Linked DNA regions of Arabidopsis thaliana. The protein of the gene in region 3 interacts with the protein of the main gene of each other region in a biochemical or structural test. Each region holds a gene or a part of one and is shown on either strand. Other genes may lie near its edges. The genes, in order: SE, DDL, DCL1 and HEN1.

What was found.
Region 1: the proteins of DCL1 (region 3) and SE form a complex in vitro, tested with the Arabidopsis thaliana proteins (one study listed by BioGRID).
Region 2: the proteins of DCL1 (region 3) and DDL form a complex in vitro, tested with the Arabidopsis thaliana proteins (one study listed by BioGRID).
Region 4: the proteins of DCL1 (region 3) and HEN1 form a complex in vitro, tested with the Arabidopsis thaliana proteins (one study listed by BioGRID).

What each region holds. Positions count from the first base shown.
Region 1 is NC_003071.7:11,570,888-11,577,190, forward strand, and holds SE (C2H2 zinc-finger protein SERRATE (SE)), read left to right. Parts: upstream 1-1,509; 5' UTR 1,510-1,699; coding exon 1,700-2,115; intron 2,116-2,326; coding exon 2,327-2,427; intron 2,428-2,674; coding exon 2,675-2,732; intron 2,733-3,070; coding exon 3,071-3,145; intron 3,146-3,229; coding exon 3,230-3,304; intron 3,305-3,398; coding exon 3,399-3,446; intron 3,447-3,596; coding exon 3,597-3,665; intron 3,666-3,754; coding exon 3,755-4,546; intron 4,547-4,626; coding exon 4,627-4,675; intron 4,676-4,790; coding exon 4,791-5,050; intron 5,051-5,158; coding exon 5,159-5,317; intron 5,318-5,409; coding exon 5,410-5,470; 3' UTR 5,471-5,771; downstream 5,772-6,303. Other genes in the region: FRS3 (FAR1-related sequence 3), read right to left, coding at 6,082-6,126. UniProt on the Arabidopsis thaliana protein: Acts as a mediator between the cap-binding complex (CBC) and both the pre-mRNA splicing and primary microRNAs (miRNAs) processing machinery.
Region 2 is NC_003074.8:7,173,933-7,179,591, forward strand, and holds DDL (SMAD/FHA domain-containing protein), read right to left. Parts: upstream 4,089-5,659; 5' UTR 3,940-4,088; intron 3,703-3,939; 5' UTR 3,669-3,702; coding exon 3,294-3,668; intron 2,834-3,293; coding exon 2,802-2,833; intron 2,723-2,801; coding exon 2,656-2,722; intron 2,545-2,655; coding exon 2,487-2,544; intron 2,135-2,486; coding exon 2,042-2,134; intron 1,520-2,041; coding exon 1,405-1,519; intron 1,291-1,404; coding exon 1,243-1,290; intron 1,152-1,242; coding exon 1,106-1,151; intron 1,018-1,105; coding exon 947-1,017; intron 803-946; coding exon 763-802; 3' UTR 504-762; downstream 1-503. Other genes in the region: AT3G20555 (uncharacterized protein), read right to left, coding at 4,268-4,459, 4,542-4,682. UniProt on the Arabidopsis thaliana protein: Involved in the microRNA (miRNA) and short interfering RNA (siRNA) biogenesis. May facilitate DCL1 to access or recognize primary miRNAs. Binds RNA non-specifically.
Region 3 is NC_003070.9:21,821-26,442, reverse strand, and holds the start of DCL1 (dicer-like 1), read right to left. Parts: upstream 3,028-4,622; 5' UTR 2,925-3,027; coding exon 1,992-2,924; intron 1,902-1,991; coding exon 1,788-1,901; intron 1,692-1,787; coding exon 1,481-1,691; intron 1,403-1,480; coding exon 1,008-1,402; intron 920-1,007; coding exon 700-919; intron 619-699; coding exon 446-618; intron 363-445; coding exon 240-362; intron 152-239; coding exon 1-151. UniProt on the Arabidopsis thaliana protein: Ribonuclease (RNase) III involved in RNA-mediated post-transcriptional gene silencing (PTGS). Functions in the microRNAs (miRNAs) biogenesis pathway by cleaving primary miRNAs (pri-miRNAs) and precursor miRNAs (pre-miRNAs).
Region 4 is NC_003075.7:11,185,399-11,192,945, forward strand, and holds HEN1 (double-stranded RNA binding protein-related / DsRBD protein-like protein), read right to left. Parts: upstream 5,726-7,547; 5' UTR 5,656-5,725; intron 5,422-5,655; exon of another isoform or gene 5,207-5,421; 5' UTR 5,178-5,206; coding exon 4,926-5,177; intron 4,836-4,925; coding exon 4,746-4,835; intron 4,593-4,745; coding exon 4,141-4,592; intron 4,057-4,140; coding exon 3,802-4,056; intron 3,590-3,801; coding exon 2,640-3,589; intron 2,139-2,639; coding exon 1,987-2,138; intron 1,843-1,986; coding exon 1,726-1,842; intron 1,532-1,725; coding exon 1,412-1,531; intron 1,307-1,411; coding exon 866-1,306; 3' UTR 538-865; downstream 1-537. Other genes in the region: MS5 (Tetratricopeptide repeat (TPR)-like superfamily protein), read right to left, coding at 1-49, 234-446. UniProt on the Arabidopsis thaliana protein: Methyltransferase that adds a methyl group to the ribose of the last nucleotide of small RNAs (sRNAs). This protects the 3'-end of sRNAs from uridylation activity and subsequent degradation.

The DNA.
Region 1 (6,303 bases), on a different chromosome or scaffold from region 3:
TCATTGTATTCATGTTGAATATGAGAGAAGAACAGTGCCCTTTATTACCAAATTGCATCATGATATATAAAACAAATGAAAATTACGCATTGCAGGATATTTGCTATTTAGCGAGACATGATCATTCTCTCAAATCTCAAACTCAAATCTCATGCCTCCGTATATAGAAAAAAACAAAGAAATCCCAAGCAAACACAACGAAGATACATAAATTAAATCCAAGGCAACAAATACAAATCAAGCTTATGTTGCTCCCAACACAACACAAATCAATCATACATACCAAATAAAAAAAACCCTCAAAGCAACTATCTATCAACAATTAAAGAACAAATTTCCACTTTGAAATCCTAACACAATCTAACCTATTCTCTTAACTTAGTAACCTGTTCCGCCGTTTAAAGTTCCTCAAGCAAAATCCTTATGGAAAGAGTAAAACTTTCACAGAACCATCGGATAGATGACAAACAATCAGAATCACATAAGAAGGCAACTTTTTCGTAATCGGAATCCCAAAATAGGGCGAGAGAGAATATAAGGAGAGCATAACCAAAGTCATACCGCAGACAAAACACAAAACTGATTGAACAAATTAAGAAGTTTTCTTAGAGTAATCGAAAATCAAAACCTGAAAAGTGCACGAATTTGACAAAAAAGAGAGATTTTTATAGAAAGGTAAAGAAACCCAAATGAAATTGGACCATTAGAGTAGAAGAAAACCTAGAAAAGGTGAGATTTTTCACACAAGTAGAAGAAACAACAGTAAGATGGAGAAACGGTGATACCTAAAGAGATGTCCTTTGAGAGCTTTGGAGTTACGCGAGAGGATCAAACCCAAAAGAAAACAAAACGTCTTCTTCTACAGGAGACGAAGAAGAAGGAGAGAGGTGGTCTGTGTCGTGTGTGAGTCAGCAGCGAATCAGATGGGTAGAGAGAAGAGAGAGAGAGAGAAGAGGAATCTTATGCGAGAGGAGAAAAAGGAGATTGTGTGTGTATGTGTGTGACTACCAACATGCAATAAAGCATTTGCTTGCTTGTAAAGACGATTTTGACGGATGACTCCAAAAACGGTAACTTTCTCTTGCCGTTGTTATTTCTACTCCGGTTACTTTTCTTACACCTTTTTTTTGTTTGTCTTTTTATTTTTTTAAGGATTCATTAGTTTATGATAAACATCCTTAATCTATGGTCTTAGTCAATTGCTTTACAAAACAATTTTGTTACATGTCAACTCACATTTTAGTATTTTACTAATAATCAAATCCATAGACAGATTATGAAAAAATAATCCATAGTGATCCCATAAAAAATAGAAACTAATCTTATCAAATTGACAGAGATACTAAGACTTATTATTGGCTTAATTTACAGAATTGTTTGAAGAATTTTTCTGGAAATGATGGGAAAGAATCTGACTGAAATATTAAAATAGTTTTGCTTCGATGAAATGGAGGAATAGTCAAAGGTGTGGACAAATAATTAACATAGAAATCCAAATACTGTATTTTCATAAAGACGAAGATGGGCCTCTGAGAGTAAGGCCTATTTATGAAGACGAAGATGGGTCTCTGAGAGTAAGGCCCTATTGGAAATAAAGCTCACTGTAACAGTAACAGCAGCAAAACCCGTAAAGGTAGAGGGAGAGACACAGAGGCTTCGAGTGAAATCGTACATTCTCCGATTTAGGGTTCCGAACGAAATGGCCGATGTTAATCTTCCTCCGTCTGATTCCGTCGATAACCGTCTCCCTGAGAAATCAACCTCTTCCTCACCACCTCCTCCACCGCCTTCTTCTTCTCTGCCGCAGCAGGAACAGGAACAAGACCAGCAGCAGCTTCCGCTACGCCGTGAGAGAGATTCACGAGAGCGTCGTGACGAGAGAGACATCGAACGTCCTCCGCCTAATCGCCGTGAACGTGACCGTTCGCCTCTCCCACCGCCTCGTAGGGATTACAAGAGACGTCCTAGCTTGAGTCCTCCGCCACCGTATAGAGATAGGCGACACTCTCCTCCTCAGCGTCGCTCGCCTCCTCAAAAGCGTTATCGGAGGGATGATAATGGCTATGATGGTCGCCGTGGTAGTCCTCGTGGTGGCTATGGACCACCCGATAGAAGGTAATCTTCATTTCTTATGCTTACACTTCAATTGGAATTACATCAGAGTTAATTTGTTACCGATTGAATTATAATTCAAAGTCATATGGGAACTGTGTTTGCATTGTTGCTTAGCTGATAACTGTTGATTATCCTCTTGTATCGATGGTTGTTATATTCCATCGTTTTCGAGATTTCCTAATCTGTACTCAATTTTTACTTTGCATGTTAGATTTGGGTATGACCATGGTGGAGGATATGACCGTGAAATGGGTGGGAGGCCTGGTTATGGTGATGAAAGGCCTCATGGTCGCTTTATGGGTCGCTATCAGGGTGAGACATCTCTGTCTAAGATGTTTTTACAGTTGAGAGAATCAGTATTACCACTTTTTCGTATGATTTCTGTCTTGTGAGACATGTTTAAGATACCTATCATTGGGCGTTCTTATTATTTGTGGACTTCTGTTCATTTGACTAGCTTCGTATATTTCTCTCTGTATGCTGTGGATTGGAAACAAGCGATTTACATTAGAAGATAAGATGTCAATATCTACCTTTTATTGTGTGTTACTTATGGCAGACTGGGAGGGAGGACGTGGAGGTTATGGTGATGCTTCCAACAGTGGAAATCCTCAAAGGTTAAGGTTCCTTCTTCTTTTGTTTTTTAAAATTTTCTTTGTATTTCATGGGTTTGTTGTCTTTTTCCTATGGCGTGTTTATTCTTGGTAGCGTATTTTTAATCAAGTTAGTGTAAACTAAGAGTTGCGAACTGTCTAATGGTGCTCAATGAATGGAGGATACATCCCTTGTAGAATGTTCTTTCTTCGATGAGACATATATGTTTTTTTCCTTATAGCTCCGGAAAGTTAGAGTGAATGTTTGAGAGACACCATTATAGTGGCACACAACTGATGCTGTCTGTATCCTCCCTTGCTGTTGCATTTAACGATACTACCTTTGTAATTCCTTTACCCAGGGATGGATTGATGTCATACAAACAATTTATCCAGGAGTTGGAAGATGATATATTGCCATCTGAAGCTGAACGCAGGTATGATCATTTCTGCTACTTAGTCTTGTTACTTAAGCAATTTAATAATAAAGCTGCGGGTGTAATGCTTTTTTCCTGATGCAGATATCAAGAATACAAGTCAGAGTATATCACAACACAAAAACGTGCCTTTTTTAACACCCACAAAGAGGAAGACTGGTGATTTCACTATCTTTTTTCATCTTTTATATTCTTCTGGGATATTCTGCAAGCTAGCCTAATAACATGTGTATCTATGTTGCGCATCTACCAGGTTGAAAAATAAGTATCATCCAACAAACTTACTATCTGTCATAGAAAGGTGAGTTCAAGAGTCATTTGAAGCAATTTGATTCGGTGTTAGTGCCTGAATAGTGTAATATTAATACTATACATCCTTGATTTTATTATTTTAATTTTCTTTTCATTAAAGAAACTGTTCAACTATAGATATTCCTTTGAAATTTTTCAGGAGGAATGACCTTGCACAGAAGGTGGCAAAGGATTTCTTACTTGATTTACAAAGCGGGACACTAGATTTGTAAGATCATTTCTTTGGCCTTTATTCCACATGTGTGACTGATCACAATTCTGTCATCTCTAACGCTCTCAGTTTCCCTTCTGTTCCAGAGGCCCTGCAGTGACAGCATTGAATAAATCCGGCCGGACCAGTGAGCCTAATTCTGAGGATGAAGCCGCTGGTGTTGGTAAAAGAAAAAGGCATGGTATGGGTGGAGCTAAAGAGAATGAACTTCTTTCAGCCGCACCGAAAGCACCCAGTTTCACCTCTGATCCAAAGAGAATCCTGACTGACGTTGAACAAACACAAGCCCTTGTGCGTAAGCTAGACTCTGAGAAAAAAATTGAGGAAAATGTTTTACAAGGTTCAGAAACTGAAAAATCAGGTAGAGAAAAGTTACACAGTGGTTCTACTGGTCCAGTTGTAATCATAAGGGGGTTGACATCTGTGAAAGGCCTTGAGGGTGTTGAATTACTTGACACGCTTGTTACATATCTATGGCGTGTTCATGGTCTGGACTATTACGGAAAGGTTGAAACAAATGAAGCTAAGGGTTTGCGGCATGTGAGAGCTGAAGGAAAAGTTTCTGATGCAAAAGGAGATGAGAATGAAAGTAAATTCGACTCTCATTGGCAAGAGAGGTTGAAAGGTCAAGATCCCTTGGAAGTGATGGCTGCCAAAGAGAAGATAGATGCTGCCGCTACTGAAGCTTTAGATCCACATGTCCGAAAGATTAGAGATGAGAAGTATGGTTGGAAATATGGTTGTGGAGCCAAGGGCTGCACGAAGCTGTTTCATGCTGCTGAATTTGTGTACAAGCATCTCAAGCTGAAACACACTGAGCTTGTCACAGAGCTGACTACCAAAGTTCGGGAAGAACTGTATTTTCAGAACTATATGAAGTATGTAGGCTTTTTCTCTTGGATTCCTCTACTGTCGTTTCTGACAGGTTCGTAATGAAATTTTTTTGTGCTATTTGCAGTGATCCTAATGCTCCAGGAGGACAACCAGCCACGCAGCAATCTGGCCCGGTACATGATCTTCTTTTGAGATTTAATGGAGTGTTGACTAGTCTGTACTTTTGGGTTATCACTTGTTTAGCTTGGTTTGAGTTTTATTTACGTGGGTTAATTATACTTTCAACAGAGAGATAGACCTATAAGACGTAAACCCAGCATGGAGAACAGACTGAGGGATGATAGAGGTGGACGCAGAGAGCGTGATGGACGTGCTAATGGAAATGACAGAAATGATCGGTCAGAAGATCAACAGAGAGGGGATAATGATGGTGGAAATCCTGGGGAAGTTGGGTATGATGCATTTGGTGGACAAGGTGGTGTTCATGTTCCTCCCTTCTTATCGGATATAAACCCACCACCAATGCTGATGCCTGTTCCTGGTGCTGGGTAGGTTTAATAAAGATTACTCACTCCCTTCATGATCTTGTTTTCAGAATAAATTAGTTACTGTGTTGAATCAATGATCTTAATGTGTCTGAATGATGATGTGGTCAGGCCACTGGGACCATTTGTACCAGCACCACCTGAAGTTGCTATGCAGATGTTCAGGGACCCAAGTGGACCCAACCCTCCTTTTGAAGGTAGCGGGAGAGGTGGACCTGCCCCTTTTCTGTTGTCTCCGGCCTTTAGACAAGATCCTAGACGGCTGCGCAGGTAACGTAGTTCACTCTGTGCTATGAGTCCATTACCCTATGATCAAGAGTGCAGTGTCTCTAAGGTACTAATGTATGAGAAATTTGGTGCAGCTACCAAGACCTAGATGCTCCAGAGGAAGAAGTGACCGTTATTGATTACAGGAGCTTGTAGACAAGACAGGGCTAGAGAGATCCCGAGTTTACTGGTTCGGGTTGGGTTAAAGGGCATCAGTATTAGAAGGCAAAGCTAGCAGATTGTGGCATTTTCTTACCCTTTTGATGTATTATGTCTTGTTCCTCCCAATTTTCACTCACTAAAGCGTAAAATACGCACTCCATACATTTCCTTATTGTTTTTCAAAATTTTTCATGTGCTTTCTTACTAATTCTGTTCGACGATGATTACATAAATAGCATGAGAATTTCTTGTATTGAATAATGCGTTTTATCCACATTGTTTGTTATCAATACTTAAGTCTCCATGGCAGTCTTAAATCTCCATGGCCATTAAATATAATCTGCAGTCAAACGAATGACTATCCACAAGAATCCAGGTTTTTAGGGTTCAATGTAAATAAGAAGGATATATACACTTCAAAGCCTGGCTCAATGCCTACCAGATTCTACACACTTGCGTAGATGACGTGACACTTACACATGTTACAATTACACATAAGGCATTGTATCGTAAATCTAACAACACTAATCACAGACGAGCTCTAATGAGGTTAACAACCATTTTCCAAAGTTTTCTTTTCCAGAGGTTGTTTCTCTCTCTCAACATCATTTGCGTTGCTTCTTTGCTTGAGATTCTGTTTGTAGCTCTCCCTGCAAATGCAAGATACCGTTTAGATACTCTATAAGACAATACATAGACCAAGTAATAGTTCAGGAACAATTATAGGTCGATATGAACCTAATTGATTGCTGTTACTATTACTAATTCAACTATCATTGGCCTTGTAATTATTTAATAACTACTACTTGGAAAAAGAAAAAGAAAAA
Region 2 (5,659 bases), on a different chromosome or scaffold from region 3:
GGTTCGTGTTCACTTCAAGCTTCTAGAGTCAAATATGTCAATCTTTGTTTTGTTACAAGGGCGCTTATAAAAGCTTCCGTACGTGGTTGTGTCTGAGTTTGTGAATGAAGAAAACAGAGGAAATGTTAGATTTATTATTGTCGTTTCTGTGTTATTTGCAGTATTTTAACTACATGGGGATACTTGCGGTGGAAGGTACCTAAGATAAGATGCACCATGTCGACATCCTTTTAATGCTAGCAGTCTCGGAGGGAGACAAGCCTAAAATTGAAGAGCTTCTCAAACGCTGACTACACGGTTAAGGATGCTGACGGCAGAACCACTCTTGACTGAGCAAGCAGGGAGGAGATCCGTGACTTGATCCTTGAATCCCTCACTAAAGGCTTGACAAATAAGTAGTTTTCAATCGCAGAGTTAGCTTTATCTTACTAAGAAAGTGATGTCCGTTTTGGTAACTCTAGTTGAAATCTCAGTCGTCTCCATGTTTCTACGTTAAGTTAGGTCGAAACCCTCAGGGAGCGACAATTTTAAAGTAGAGATTGATCTTATACAGTTATACCAAAAGTTAACCTTTTTCTCTTACCAATCGTTCATCATCATTTATTATATAACAAGCAAGCAAAAGATTTCTAAATGATGTCTGAGATTATCACCAGCACGGTAGAAAGCATACATGAAGCAGCTCAAACATCTCTAAAAACCCTGAGAAACGCAACTATCTAATCTTGTGATTTACTCGTTTCTGCTTGACTCTGATTTCATTCACTCGGCAGAATTCTCGTGCAACAGTACGTACTCTCGGCTGCAACCAAAAGAACAAAACATGTCAAGAACAGAAGAAAGTAGATGTTAACTGCACAGCAAGCAAAGATTAATCACAGAGAATAGGCACGGGGTATGATTCATAATGGGAAACCAGAACTAGAATGTGTCTTCATTAGAATACCTGCTGTTGCCAAACTTTATGGTGTCTTTCTCAAAAAGCTCATAATATCTTTGTGGCTCAATGGGACTTTCCTGAAAAAGTAAAAGAAGTTCTAATCACAAACGTTTGAATTAACCATGATAAAGAAGCACATAAGAAGGAATGTAATTGAGCACTTACATTGATATAAGTTTTGTTGGTACTACCAAGATCCATTATGTAAGGCCTGGAAAGTGACATTAAGGGAAATTAAAATTTAGCTTAAAGCCAGAAGAGGTACAAATTTTAAGCAAAATGAAAGAGCAGATAGGTTTTACTTCACTTGCTTCCCCATCATACCATCTGGTTTCTCCTTTTCCATTTCCCTGAGAAAAGCACATTCACAGTGACATAAATATTAAACTAAAAACCTTATTCTCATTAAATCTATTGTCATAGATATTACTACTTAAAAGGAGAAATACATGTCAGAACCCTACCGGTACTGAATGACAGCATGCTGCTTGCTGCAAGATGGGTGATCCGTAGGAATGTCGGCAATCCTTCTTTCACGTCCAAAGAGGTAGCAGCTTTGGCGGTGAAGGCAGAGTGGCTCTGTTAGTCCAACACATTTCACATGCACAGAAACATACATCAAGAAAACTGATTCAGGGCATTCAGAATTATTAAGCAAACAGAAATGGGAAACAAAATGTAAAATCTTATATACAATGTTCAGGGGTTCAAAGTAAGAATGACACGGGAAGCCACAGTCACAAACATATCAGATCAAAGGAGCTATTTTTCCTCTAAGAGTCATTAACATTCATAATAAGATTCATTCTAAGAAAATTGACAAGTTCTAAGAAGTATCAAGCTATAGTTTGGCTACTATCGGTAATCACGCTGTTATCTGGACACTAAACCATCAATGACCACAGTTTTCAAGTTTACATGGCTAGAGTGCATCAAAATTTCTTGAGTATCTCTTTCATTGCCACTACATGCTTTACTGCATATTTTGTGGACAAAAAATTGACGTTCACCACAGTAAGATAGTTAAGTGAAATACATAGAAGACAAATGAACCACTACTTAGACAGATGGATAGAGATGTGGAAGACGTCAAAGACTCACCATTCAGTGGTTCACCATCCTTAAAAACATACAGTCTCCATCGTTCGCTGGGTTTTCTAGCCTCTGGGGGCTCATTGAAGAGGAGTGTGATACCTGCAAAGGATTCACTCAGTCAAGGAAGCTAAGCATGCCTATGGTGAAATTTAATGCGAGAAACCACCGTCTCCATTCCTAGGAGCAAAAGCGGATTGGCAGTCAAAAGATATCTGCTGATAGCAGATGCTTATATATTGAAGCTTCTAGTCTCATTAGATATTGACCAAAGAAAGCTTTTACCCAGTGACAGACACGTACGCATACAAAATTAAGTAAATATGACCTGACAACAAAGGCAGATGTTTCGCAGTTCAAACATGCAATGAAAACACTATGGCAAAAGTTTCTAGCACAAGGTAATGGTAACAGGTGATATTCTTAAATGAAATGGACGGATCAGAAGTTTCACCTCTGTATCTGTTAGTTTCTTCAGCAAGTTTCCCTGATAGCTCAAATGATGGTTCTTCCTACAAGATATATCAAAATTAGATTTGAAGCGTTAGCATTTATGCATGGATGAGCTAAGCGAGCTCAAAATGACATTGGAAATTGAAAATCAATAGGGCTTGATATAATACCTTTTTCTTCGCTGCCAGAGCCTCTTCAACTGCTCTCATTCTCGCGACTGAATCTTCCTCGACATTTCTGTTAACGAAAACCCATAACATGGTTAAAAGAAAGACTGAAAAATTGTAACGGCTAATCTAATAAGAAGAAAACTCACGGCTCCTCGCTGCCCCCTCTTGCATTAGACCCCTGAAAAGACAAAAGGCGATAAAAATGACTGAAGAAGTAACAAAAATCTGTGGCTCGCAGAAAATGATAATTTGCAGAAAGCAACCATAATCTATATAATGAGCTTTTACTAAAAAGAGAGAAACATGAGAAGTGATGTTACTGGACATGCTGAAGGGAAACAAAGAGACTATCTTTCTTAAGTCCTTTAGCAACAGAGTAAGCAAAAAATGGCTGGCTGCAGGTTCTAGTTATAGACTCACGAGATGGATAAGCTAGATTACAGGATTCCAATTATTTATTATGTGACGAAACAAGCAGCAGAGGCTAACCTTTTCTAGCATACATCAGAGCTAAACAATTTCAATCACATTTATCTTTTCAAGCAGAATACGAATATGCACAAGTAAAACCCAAAACAAAAAAAAAAACACTTCTGAGATTAAGAACATATCCAAGCTAAAGAAAGAAGCAGAAATACCTCATCATGCCTTGAGGCAATAGCTCTTTCAGGTGAACGCCTACTACTCCTGTGACTCCTATCTGACGGTGAAGTAGACCTCTCATGTCTTCCTCTAGAGTATCTCTCATCATCTGTTCTTGTCCTTCTCCTTTTTTCAGTATCCTCTCTCCCTGATCGTCTTCTCTTATCCCCAACTTCCCTATCTCTTTCTCCTTCTCCTTTTCTCTCCCTATCCCTATCTCTTCCTATATCTCTATCCCTTTCCCTACTGTTTCTCTTCTCCCTTTCTCTACCATCATCTTCTCTCTCTCTACTTCTCCCAATTTCCTTCTCTCCTCGAGCTCTTCTCAGTCTCTTCGTACGTGGTGAAGGAGACCTAGAACTAGGAGCCATTATTGGAGTCAGGGTCGTTTTCTCTCTTCTTTGCCTTTGGAAAGATCACAAATTGAAACCAGGGTCAGAAGGAAAAGGCATGTGAGCTCCAGATAACACAGTAAACCCTAATTCCCAAATGCATAGAAACTAGAAATGGAGCAAAAGCCCTAAACCAAAAAACGTAAGCTACAGATTTCAAATACTAAATTCAGAAGTTCCGGGCATAGTCTAGGGTTGCAAGAATCGTTAAGAGAAAAAATCGCTGCATAACGAGAAAGAAAAATTTTACCTGGTGGCCGGAACTGTGACTACTTCGGCGGAGAGAAGAGGAGAGAGTGAATAATAATAATCGCAGAGATAAAAAGAATCAGAGCCAAAACGAGAAGAATCATTTATTTGGCCTCTTTTGCAAATAAATGGAAACTGAGGGGTTCAATATCAAACAAATTGTAGACGGTATGGTAAAACTTCCATTAGTTGACACGTGTCATATCTTGTTTGGTAGAAAGGATATGTATAATTAGGGCAGAAGCCGCTTGTAACGTCGTACCCTTGTACTTCCTTCGAGATTTTTGTTTCTTCGTCCTAGTTTGCAACAAAGATTTTATAATTGATCATCAAACAAATCGGTGAGCCTGTAACAAATCGAGTGCACCAGCTTTACCACCAACTTTGATAGGATAGAAGACAAATACAAGATCATAGATATAGTTGAGGTGGATAGCTAAACGACATAAACCATCAGAAGTGACAGTGATCTTGTTCTGATTGTAACAGAGTGCACCAGGTTTACCACCAACTTTGATCCTCTCATGAAGGAACTTGTGGAGAGAAATTTTCAACTTCGAGGAACATATGTCCTGAAATCCCATCTGTAGTTCTCCTTACTACCGATTTGTAGTCGCAACTGTTGGCCTTGAAGCTTATGTGGAAGACAGCATTCATAGACTCGAGCTTTAGAGACGGGTCAGTATGAGTTTCTCGGGTGATGCTTTGGTTTGTCGGGTGATGGCTCATCGAATCCCAAATCATGTCTCCTTGTTTATTTGATGTATCTTTAGTTTCATGTATATACTAGTGTACGCCAATATTATAGACGATTAAAAACTAATTCTTGTTTACGTATGAACAAAACGATATGTACTTTGTCATTATTATATTTTTTGTCAAAGATTGAGAATATTTATTTTTTTCGCATCATAGACACACAAACAAATGTTGTCTAATGATCTACCAGCCGGCTTGTATATCTAATTCAAATATCGGTCATGCATCATGCACTTCATTAGTATCTTATGTTTTGCAAAATACTGGCTAGACTGTCACATATATCAGAATCGGTCACCGTCACCTTCTTCGTTATTGTCATACGGTTTCACTATGACAAAGTCCAAATTAGGTCAAATTTTAAGCGAACATACGTAGCCTCTTACGTCATAGATTGCTGATGAAAAAGAGGCAAATTATTATAACAACCATCAAAGATTCGGTACTAACTTTACAAATTCACACAATTCGTATCTCACAATCTAAAAGTGCAATATGTCGTACATGTTTTGTAAGCTAGACAATAGTAAAATAATTATCCTGCCGGACTATAAAGGTTCGAGAACGTGGACCGACTATATTTATATATCAATTAGCTATTTGTGGTGTTAGCCTAATGTTGCCTTCATCACGTTTTCTGTTTTTTTGTTGAAGGATTTTCAAATAGATGAATTGACTATCATCACCTTGTCACGTTATAAACCATATATATTATCGTTAAACACTTAGTAGCAGTTCCCCACGAATTACATGTCTCCATCATTGACAAATTTATATTTTTGTTTGTAAGAACACTTTTTCCTTCCTCAACAAATTCTTGTACTTAATACAGATATATACTTATAAATGTTACATCAAACGCTAGATAACGGAGAATATAAGCTAAAATGAAATTAATATATCTTGTTTCAGCTTCTATCGAAATTATTTTCATTAATGGACAATATAAAATTTGATCCTTA
Region 3 (4,622 bases):
TGAGTATGTAGTCTGATCCAGGCTTTCTTGCCCGGCCACGAGACTGAATGTATGCCAGCACCGTCTTTGCAAGGTCGAAACGCATAACAACGTTACATTGCCTAATATCAAGTCCTTCCTCAGCAACGCTTGTGGCAACTAACAGTGTCACCTATCACAGTAGAAAGAGGAAATAGTAAGACATTTCAGTATAAGATAAAAAAAAAATATGTCTTAATGAAAGACAAAAAAAATCATACATGCCCATCTCGGAATTTGGAAATTGTATCCTGCATTTGAGATGATTTCATCTCCTGGCTGTTATTGTGTCCAATCATGCTGGCACACCGTATAAAACTAAGCGAAGGCAGCTCCGCAAAAACCTGAAAATTTCCAGGCTCAGAGAGACATAGGCAGAAAAATTATACACAAGAAAATAAATTGTTTTTTTCACTTTAATCCTAACCTTAGGAAGAACCAAAGCAGCAACCACCCTCTCAACGAAAACAATAGCTCGAAAATCAGCTGTGTGCTGATATTTGAGGAGTAGTTTGATCAATGATTGTACTTTTGGAGTAACTTTCCCATCAGCCACTGCGGCGCCTATTACTTCATCAACGTGCTCCCCTCCCGAGACCACTAAAACCATAGAGCTCTGTTAATATTGGATTTCTAAAACCGGTAAAAAGCGATTAGACAAAGAATGTGATTAATACTTACCAGGATCATCAGGGAGCTCTCCCTCCTCCATCTCGTCATGTGCATTACCATTTTCTGGTTTGCCAACTTCCGCCGCGACTTTTTCAGCAGCAGCGCCTTCCAGAAGCTCACATTGCAAGAGTGACACCACCTCACTGAGGTATGATTCTTGAAACTTCACGTCGACTTGGAAATTCACCCTCTCATCACTTTGCAAAGCAGACAAGAATGATTGTCCCACCTTGAAAGAAGACACAAAAATTATATCATATGAAAATAACATATCCATTTCAAATTATCGAAAACTATTTACTAAGTTGTTTTTTTACCTTGTAAGCACACCATTGACCCAATTCAGCAAGAGTATAATTGATAGCTCTAAGTTTATGAATCAAATTGGCAGCACCATCGCTCTCCGTTCTTTCAGAGACGCCATAAACCTGTCTCAATTCATCCTTTGCTCCAGCATCCCTAGCCCCCATAAATTGCCACTTGCTTTTCCTTGAACTTGCTTGTGCCGCTTCTTCAACAGCTGCAATCATTTGCTTTATTGTCTCATGAAGAGACCACATAGTAGCAGCTTTGTCATACTCGACGACTATCTCTGAAGGCATAGGCACATGTTTCTCTAATTCTTTTCGATCTTTTATAGTACAAACCGTAGAATCCAACTTGGTCTCGAGGTTACGTATCTTTATCGCACAATCTACTTGGCTTGAAACACCTACGTTTACAAACAAAAAGTGTCACTTTCAAGAACATTGGCAAGCTTAGAGAACTGTATACAAGAAACAATCAGTACCCTTTAAATTAACAGGCGAAGCAGTCATTCCAAAGATGGCAGGTCTTTTATCTTTAGGAGTTGTATGGTAAAACTCTGACATCACTAAAGAGTATGGATGTTTCTTGACAGCGTGGTGACACTCGTCGAGAATAAGAAGATCAATTGTTTCCATTCTAATGATACTGTGTCTCAGTATATTCAACAGAATTTGTGCTGTCATAACTAGAACCTGCGTAGAAGAAAATAGAAAAAAACTCGTTAACTTCAAGAACTGATTCATATAAAAGATCAAAGCTGGTATGAAAAAGAAGCATCAAAAAGCAACCTGCTTAGACTCAAACTCTCGTTGCCACCTTCGAGAATCCCAAAAGTCCTGTCCCATCTCACCACAATAATGTCCAACTTGAAAACAAGTTTGATTACGGATCACTTCTGCTTGCTGATAACGTAAGATAAATCAACCAACCAAAACCAATAGGTAACCAATTTTTTAAAAAAGAATACAAACATGTTTCTTATTAGGCGGTACCTGATAAACCAAAGGCACTTTGGGAACCAAGAACACCGAGAGCATTTTTCTGTTCTGGCTCATCAGATCCTTATGAACACTTTTAATAAGAAGAATCGCGATAAGTGTCTTTCCAGCACCGGTCTCAAGGAAAGCAATCGTGTTTTTCGCTTTAGCTTGTTCAAGAACATCCAACTGGTATCGCCTTGCTTGCTCTTCCACAACCTTCTCTTTACGTTCTTCAGGCTTACTCTTGTTCTCCTCTGCCTTGACATCGCATTCGCGGTTTCCACCACTCACTTTCTTAACATCTCTTTCATGATCAGCTTCCCAAGTCCCTGACCTATAAACCAACTCATTGGAACCAACTTTATCCCTCTCCCAATAACCCCTAACTTCTCTATCTCTACCATCTCTTCTGTAATTGTTACATTCCCTTTTCTTCTTATTGTTACCCGCCTCGTCCCAATTACGAGTACGTTTCCTATTCATAAACCTATCTCCCTCCCTAGAATTATTAACATGCCCTCTACCTGAAAGGTTACTCCTTTCACTCTGATAACTACAAACCCTAGCTCTCTTCCTATCCTTGTCTCCTTCCTCTTTCGAGAATTCGTCTCTCTTACCGCCATTCTTTTGCAACCCATTCTCCTTCACTGTCTCCTTAGCAATAACCTGAGGAGTTACAGTAACCTCGTTGATTTGAGAATTGGTATCAGAAACGCCATTGTTTGGTAAGCCTCCACCGTTCTTGATACTATCTAAAATGTGATCAATCCCACCGAAAAAATCATTGATGACGCCGTTTTCATCAGTGGATTCATTGACAGCAACAGAGGAAGGATCAAATTCAGACACGAGATCATCGATAAGATCACAAGAGATGTCCTCGCAAGCATCTAGCCAATAAGAAGGCTTTATTGTGGCTTCTCTAGGCTCATCCTCCATTACCATAATTCTATATAATAATCAAATCAAGAACATAAGAAAGAGGAGAAAAACTCACTCAAGAAAACCAAATCCCCAGAGAAGAAAACAGAACCAAAAGCACGAGAATTGAATAAACCCAGAAAAAGGGGTGAGAGAAGAAGAGTGTTTTGTGACAGATTAGGGTTAGATAGACCGTACGAAACACGCCAATTTTGAAGTTGTTGTTTGCAGGTAAAAAGGGGTCACGAAGAAGAGCAAGCAAAACCCTAGAGACCACTACTATTGATGATTTCTTTGTAAATAAATAGGAATTGAAAACCCTTTTGCAAAGTGTTTGTGATTCTGAGATTCCACGGTCTATCGATCCCTACTCTGTTCTGTTTCTCTCTTCGTCTTCCTCTCTCTTCTGGTCTGTTTTCCACTTGCTTGCTTCTGTTTTGTAGTAATATTTCTCTCTTTTTTTTTTTGCAATATTAAGATAATTGCCATTAAAGCAGAAGGGTAAATAATTTATTCGACTTTGTAAAAAGTAACTTATTTATTTTATCAGTTTTCTTAGGGTTATCTCCCGAATAGATATCATATGTTAATTTTAGAAGAAAAAAAATTAACAGATGTATTAAATTTATCAAGTAAAAGTGTAAAACTGAAAACTAAAAATGAAAAGATTTCGATATTATTTTATAAAGATTAAGTATTTATATCGAAATCGAAATCTTTTCATTTTTAGATTTCAGTTTTACGACTTATTCCACGCTTTTTACTGTTTCCATGTAAGTTAATATTCGATGAACCAATGAGATACGGACAAGTGGAAAACTATAGTGATTGGTTGGTTCTAAACTTCTAAAATGCTTTTGTTCTGTCATTCTGTGGACCGACTCGTGCAACTTCTTTCCCATAAAAATAAAAATAAAAATAATTATTCTAACTATTTTCAAAAACCTATATTACTTTTTATGATATGAAAATCTTCGTCGATCTCATCTCTTCCTCTCCTTTTAGTCGAGACTCTTCCTGCAAAGCCGTTAAAAAGTATTAACCAGTTTGCACTACCTTTAGTTAAATGTTAAGTAACGCTGCTTTGAAACTAGGCATTGCCTTGCAGAATTGATGTCCATTTGGCGTTAAAGTCAATACCAAAGTCACTAACGTCCATCAATCTATTAATGTGTGTATGGTACACTGATAAAGCAAAACTCTTCGTTTACCTTGATAATGCGTTTACTATTGAAAAGTTGATGAGAACTAGATACGTCTCCAAATCATTATAGTGGTGGTATATCAATGCGTTTTTGTTCTAGATCATTTCCACTCAAATAACACCTTTAGCAAATGCCATCGACTTTTGGCTAACGCCGAAAACAAATTCTTCTTTGTAAGCATCCAACACGCATAGGCTATTTTTTATGGATATTATATAATTTTGAAAATCAACAAAAAGTTTTAAAATCACTATGAAGAAATCACTTATGTTTTACATCTACTTTCATCTCTTTCCACTCCACATATAATAACTAATATAACTACTAGAAAGAACGTAACAAATGTCTGAAAAGTCGAATTTTCTACAATAATTGAATCCAAACGGCAAACGCAATTCGATCTTGGTTCTGTTGCTCGTTTAGTTAACTAACCAAAAACCAAATAATTCAAATAAAAAAATACGCGAAAATATATTGAAGATAGAAGTCGAATAGTGAGGCCGAAGAAACTAAGATA
Region 4 (7,547 bases), on a different chromosome or scaffold from region 3:
TTGCAGTCCAAAACAATGATATAGCTCTGTTCGGATCTTTATCTATCAACTGTTCTTCCACATAAACAATATCCATTTGTTAGAAAACCTCAATCATAGACAGGTTCAAGAAGATCACTCAAAATTTGAAAAGCTTTTAAGAGATTTTATCACATGAGGAAGAATCTAGAATTCCTAAATTAGGTCAAAAGAAAAATTCCCCTGTCTTGTTTTCGCGGGAAAATTGATTATACCTGCGCGTGTTTGGCTCTGACGTAAGGAGAATCACCAGAAGGAACTTTATGAACAATGTGAAACGGATCACGTCTCTCCGACGACGAAGAACAAGAATACGGTGGTCTCCTCCTCTCCGTCATCGGCATCGCCGCCACATGATCACTTGTTCTCGCCGGCGGCGGAGTATAGTAAACTCCAGGTGGAGCACGACGCTCTACGCAGGGACACATTTTCTTTTTCGATTCTCTCTGTCAATTTACTCAGATAAAGTTCGAGAAAGCTTTTCCCAGAATTCAAATTCTCGTGTTCTTCAGAAATCGCCCTCGTGAAAAAGATCAAGAACGCAAATGCTTTGAAAACGAATCAGTGTCGTTGAAGAAGTGAGAAAGTGATAAAAATCACAAGGACTTGTATTTAAATAAACAAACTTTAACGTAGGGGCAAAAAGGGTAATCTACTGATCTAATCTTTAAACTTCAACGGACCAGTAGACTTGGAGACAAAAGGATCTTGTAAACATAAAGGTTCGATTTTATGGTTAATCTGCAAAAGCTCATGGCAAAAGAACTAAACGAGCTTTGAGTTTTATAGATGAACACGTCATCACATTGCTTGCAATATATATATTCTCTGGTAGATACTACTCTAGTCAAAGATCAGTCTTTTTCTTTTCTACATCTTCTTTCTTCCACTCCCAGATGACTTTATAAGGCTGCATTGAGCTTTCTGCAACATTCTCAACAGATGAAGCTTCCCGTCTAAAAATAGCTATCTGAGAAGCAAATCCGGGTTCTACTTCACCAGACCCACCAACACCGCTAAACTCGACGCTGTAGTTATGGCGTTTGCCGAGCTTTGATGCCCATTGATTGAACTGTTCTCTTGTCCACTCGAATTTGTGGTCATGGTTCCTGAACTTTGGAAGCTGTGGCTCCGAGTTGTTTTCTTCTTGGGTTTCTGGTGTAGACCGCTGGAGAATTGTGTTGAACTCGTAGTTTGGTGTTGAGACAATCAGGAGCTTGGGGTGGAACAAGCTCAGAACTTTTTCCCCAAATTCACAGGCTTGATCTTCTTCCATGTGTTCAATAACCTACAGATTAGGAACAGATTATAGATTTAACGCCGAAACCAGACAGATTGCTTTTGATAAACGTGTACAAAATTTGAAGGATTAGAGAGCAGATGAGAGGTGGACCTCTAAGCAAGTGCCGATGTCAACGTCATGCAGCCTGGAGTCAAACTCAAGGATGGAACCATCATAAAGTGTAGCAGATTTGACGTTGCAAGCTTCCTTGTTTAGTTTTACATGTAGCATCTAAAGTTGAAACACAAGATACACAAAAGCATAAGTAAATCTACCATTTCTTTTCAATTACACAAAATGCAGAGAATCATGAGTGGTGCAAATACATTCTTCATCAAACATTTATCAATTATTTTGATGCATTAGTCTCATCAAGTTATGTCTACGAGCGGGAATAAAAAACAGTGATGTGTGATTTTGCAGACCTTAGCAGCACGGGCAAGACCCTTTGGCGAAATGTCAACACCGATGATGGTTTGAAGTGAAGTTGGATAGTCAAGTAGAGAGTCTAATAAACTTCCAGATCCGCATCCAAAGTCAACCTGTAACAAGAATAGAGGTGCCATCTTATGCTTGTCAAAGATTTACCAATAAGGACAAAAAGAGACTGAAACAAATGAGTTTTAACAAAGTCTTGAATTCATAATCCTAGTAAGCAGGAAGACATTAAGATATATAGAGCTTACCAAAGTAGAAGCGGATGATTCTCTTATATGTTTCAGTGCATATTCAACACGTTGTTTTGAAAGTGGAGGTTTGAAAAAAGCCGCCTCCATTCGTTCTTCTGATGGCCCTTTCACTCCCAACAAAAGTATATTGTAATTTAAACATGGACGTTCTGTGCACAAAAAGCAGAGAAATCCATCACTATCACATTTAAATGTTCATGATATCTCTTAACTTAGTCATAGATATAGGTCTAATTTTTGTTCATCCTCTGTTTACAGCCATGTAAGCTTTGATAATTTTGGCTATGATTTGAAAAAGAAATAAGAGACCGACAGATTCATCTAACTAGCTAGAGCTGACACAGTAAAGTTGAAATGCTAATAATACATTATTCCATAACAGAAAGAATAGAAAAAATAAAATGGACAAGACTTTAAATCAATCCTAAGTTTCACCAGAAGACTTTACGTGAGGTTCTTACATAACTTTGCCTCTTTTTAGTATTAGTGAGAACCAGAGCTTTGTAGTTACTAGTAAGACTAGACCTAAGTTCACTGGTGAAGGCAGTTCAAATGTCTAACATATGATAAAGACCTTTTTTTTTTTTTTCAACCAGAAAATCGTTTTCAGAAATTTATCCTACAACAAATGTAAACATTATAAGTATTACCTGATAGGAGCGAGCGGATTCTCACAGTATCAGAACCAACAGCCAAAATCAAAGCTTCAGCAGCATCAGGGGGTGTCATCCTAAATGAAGCATATTCACCCACAGTCATCTGAGTAACTTCTGATTCAATATGTGGATTCATGGATCCAGTCCCTACCTCAAACTCTATCTCTTCATTGCTTTCAATGAGCTCTACTGAGGATTCACAATTAGCCGAATATTCAGACTCCATCTCTTCATTGCTTTCATTGTCTTCTCTTGGAGATTCACCATCACTCGAATATTCAGGATCCACTGCCAAAGACAAAGAATAGCATATGCTAACCACGGAACCATTTGTTATAGATTGAACACGCTTCTCTGCCGACAGCACATTTGTGTTTTTTGATTCAGAACTGTGTTCCTTTTGTAAAATCGGTGGGGCCGCAAAAACATTAGGACTTGAAGATTTAGTATCCTGGTCGTCATCTGTATCACATGATTGCTCTCCATCCACATCCAGGTCAGCAAAAAACTTACTAAACCATAAGAGGGCCTTTAATGAAGCATTTTGAATGGCATCATTTTCCTTCTCATAGAATTTTCTCGGTGAACATTCTAAAACTAAATCCTGAGACTTTGTAAAAATCTTCACTTCACATCTAAACCCATGCCCTAGTCCTGGTGTATCTTCTTTTTGCCTACTCAAATTCTCATTGGCATCATCAACTCCTGAGACCTTCAACTTCTTGTGAGATCTGAATATGTCGGACAACGATTTCACAGGTGCAGTAGATGAAGAAAGGATGGGTTCTGCTAGTCGGTGCTGGTGGCAGAACAGGCCGAGAATCTCCCTGGGGAGTGGACCTCTCCAATTAGATTTTGTAGTGAATGCAAAAGGCAACTGTGCAGCAATTACAGCTTGTCGGGAAATTTTGTAGATTCCATTGGGTGACATACCGCAACATATTCTGCAGCAGCCACAAAGCCAATGTCATGCATCAGTGCATGATAAGAATAAGATATGCAGTGCTTCATCGGAAGGCAAAGACAAACATCAAATGCATTACTTCAGAGTTAGTAGACGTTACACCAATGCAATATTCCTAAAATCCTTATTCTAGAAGAAGATGTGGAAAGGAAACAAATCAGACATAAAACTGAGCGGTAGGAGAGAAGAGACCTGTAAAATGAATTTACGGTTACATCATCATAGTCAAGATCATCGGACTTCCATCGGTAACCAACAGATGCCAAGATTGCATCCCCGTGAATATCTTGACCACAAATGTAACTTGCTCGTGCATTCCGAGATTTTACAATATGAGATGAGTCTTCATTTGAAGTACCAGAGGCATCTGATGAATTATCCAAGTACTTCTTTGGAATCTCAGAGTACAATCTACACTCAGAGCCACAGGAAGCTTTGCCAAACATCCTGTTGAAAAGAAAAAAATACTTTCATACCAGATTAACACCAAGAAAGCTCCAGTTACTAATAGAAAAAAGACAATATAATCACCTGGATATCATCACTTGGTTGCCATCTTTCAATCCGAGCCTTTCAGCAATACTATCCAAGTAATGCCGGTTTGATGAAATGTAAAGAGTATCTAACTCAACAACTTCCTCATCGATACATGGTATATATACAGCCGCGACTTCTCTGCTATGTAGGGAATCAGATACATGAGTAGCTAGTGCTTCCACGATTTCTGAAGGGTATGCATTTTTCCTTCGGAGTCCATGCGGAGATGCAACAATGTAGTCTGCCAACTTTGCAGCAGCCTTCATAACATAGGAAATGGCCAAGAAAGGATCTGACTCCACAGAAGGATTGATAATTTTACAACGACTGTTAATCTTTGCATCAACTGTAGCAATGACAGAAACGGGAACTGATCCACAACGTTCACCATCTCTTCGCAATGCCGCTCTAAGGTGAGCTCCCAGAGGATGCTCAGCTGAAAGAAACTGCAATCGCAACAAACATTAATGCCAGTACCACTTCCTATTTAGACATCCAGATACCTTTTGGTCCAGCGATATAACTGGTAATATGTTTAACGAGGATGTCGTTACAGCTACAAAATAATAGAAACCAAAATTTTCTTTTCATCAACTAACCTCATCAGAAAATATATACTTAATGCGTCCAACAATTTCATCCCTAGCTTCATCCACAGTAAGATCATCATTCTGAGGGCGAATGCCTAGCTGCAACATGAATAGTCTTGCCTTCGTTAACATAAGAGAGAATAAATTACATAAGATATATATATATATATAATAAACAACAAAGCATACCTTGTCAAGAGCCAATTCAGCAGCAGATTGTTCAGAATCCTTCTTCTTCTTGAAGACATTTGACACAACAGAAAATTCAGGTAGCTGCAAGTGGCAACGATAGAGACATGGACCTTTTTGAGGAATTGCTAATCCTAGACAACCACTCTGAGAAGAGTCATGAACTTCCTCAACTGTATAGCTTGCTTTAGCACCAAACTTCTGATGTATAATCGCCTTTGGAGTAGGAGTATGCTTCCCACCACCGGCCATCACAAACACAATGTAGCTTCTTTAACACACTGAGACAAACAAAAGGGTACACATAAATATTGTCAACGATCAGGAAAGATTGGAACTTTTATGCAAAATGTGCATACCCCTGAAATTAGGGTATCTAAGAGAAGAAGAAGAATGTCTTAAACTTGACAATTCAAATCAGAGCCATAGAAAACATTAATAAATAAACAAAAAGTTCAAAATCGAACCAACATCTATTTGAGTTCCAACATTCTCAATGTTCTAATTCTAAGAAAGAAATTGAGTCAAAGCAAAAAAATTTCGTTCCAAGGAAGTACAGATAGATAGAGGGTTTGGGTATAAACAACAAAAAAGGGTTTTGAGTGTAACATTAGGACAAACGAATTGTCATGAACAGAGAAGATGGGTCAATGAAATTGAATTTCAGAAAGAGCCCAGAAGTTCAAAAAATAAATACACAAACATAAAGCAAGAATAATCGACAACGAACCTAAAGAGTTCAGCGGACTTTCATGTAAGAAGAACTCAGGAGAGAGCAACAGAGAAAAAGAGAGTGGGAGAGAGAGAATGGGGTTTTAGAGGGAGGAAGGAGGGTGTTTTGGTCATTACATGTTGTAGAATCGTTTCTTTTTCCAACTTTTTATTTTATTCCCCTATCCACCATTCTCTTTTTCTAGAAGAAAATAAATACCATTTACGTGTGAAGTTATTATAGGTTTAAGGCTCTGATTGGTAAGGCGTTTTTTAATGTAATTATGTAAAAAAATTCTCATATTAAGAAAATTTGCATAATTGTATAAGAAAACGTAAAAACGCACAATTTGTATTTTTGTTTAAATTTACAAGTAAAAATTCATTATGCAAAAAATGGGTATATAGTTTTTATTCGCATAAGAAATTGTTATTATTTTACGCATCTTAAATACTAACAATTTTAAACAATAAAAAACTATAATTATTTACACAAAAATTATGTTATTAATAATCTACATATACATTTTTGGGGAAGATTTGTGTCGAAAAATCATTTTTCAATTTCGATATTGTATGTTTAGTCCCTACAAAATCAATCAGACAAGATTGTCTTCTTTATGACAATGACCAAATTTTTGATCAATTATTCACGTTTTGCACTAATTACTTACCTAAACAAAAATATTATTTTGCACTACCCTCATAAATTGCACACATTAATCCCTTGAATCTCTACTAATTCAATATTACACGAAATAATATTCCCTAAAAATCCGAACAACCAAATAACTAACCATATCTTTACTTACTTCATTTCAAAATCTCTAATCAGCATTTTCACAACTCTTTAATAGATTTTAAGAATCTTATATTTTTATTATCAAATATTACTTAAAATTTATTAAAAACAGTTTTATTAGTATAAATATATATTGTTGATATAATATTTTATTTGTCGTTCTGTAAAATGTATCCAATCAACATATATTTTTAAGTAATTTGATTCTACGGTTTTTCATTCTACATATTTTATTATGCAACTTATACCGTTATGCTATTATGCAATGTTACGAATCATAACCTTAATGTTTGGTATTCTCACATTTCTTGTGCTTTGTAGCCAAAATTTGAAGAAAACCATGTCATGTAATGAATGCATAACACTAAAATATGAGTCATATCATATGACCAAAAGTAAAAGTGTGATTAAGGAAGAAACATGGAGATTTTAAACAGAACTAGATTTTAACCCGCGGTATACCGCGGGATGATTTATTTTTTTAAAGTAATATCTATTAAAACTTGCAAATTTTATTTTTATAAAATATTTATATTTTACAGTTTATAATTGTTATTAAGTAACGCTATACCACGAATCCATGAGACAATTGTTAAAAAACTGAAGTTTAACCCCTTGTAAAACAGCATATTAATAATATTTTAAAATTTTATAAATATTGATTCAAATACATCCACCATATAACCCAATTCCAAAATAAAACCCGTTCTGTAATTCCTTTACCCGTCCCGTAATATTTTTTTAAAGTAATAATTTTTAAAATTTAAGAATTATTTATTATATATAAAAGTTTTGCAAATTGTATCATTCTCTAACACATTTATATTTTATAGTTTAATTTTATATATAGTAACATTATACATACCACATAACATTTTTGGTTTTATATAATCTTTTCTAAATTAGGATGATTTGATATGTTTAATATTAGTGGTCTTAAAAAATAATAAATTAAAGATTTAACCCGTATTCAAACAGTGGATTAATTATATTTTATTTTTTTATTAATGTTGATTCAAAAACCCGTCTCTCCAAATCCGTCTTGCCAAAAAGCCATTTATTTTATTAATATTAATTTTATTTATGATATGACTCTGAATTATAATCTG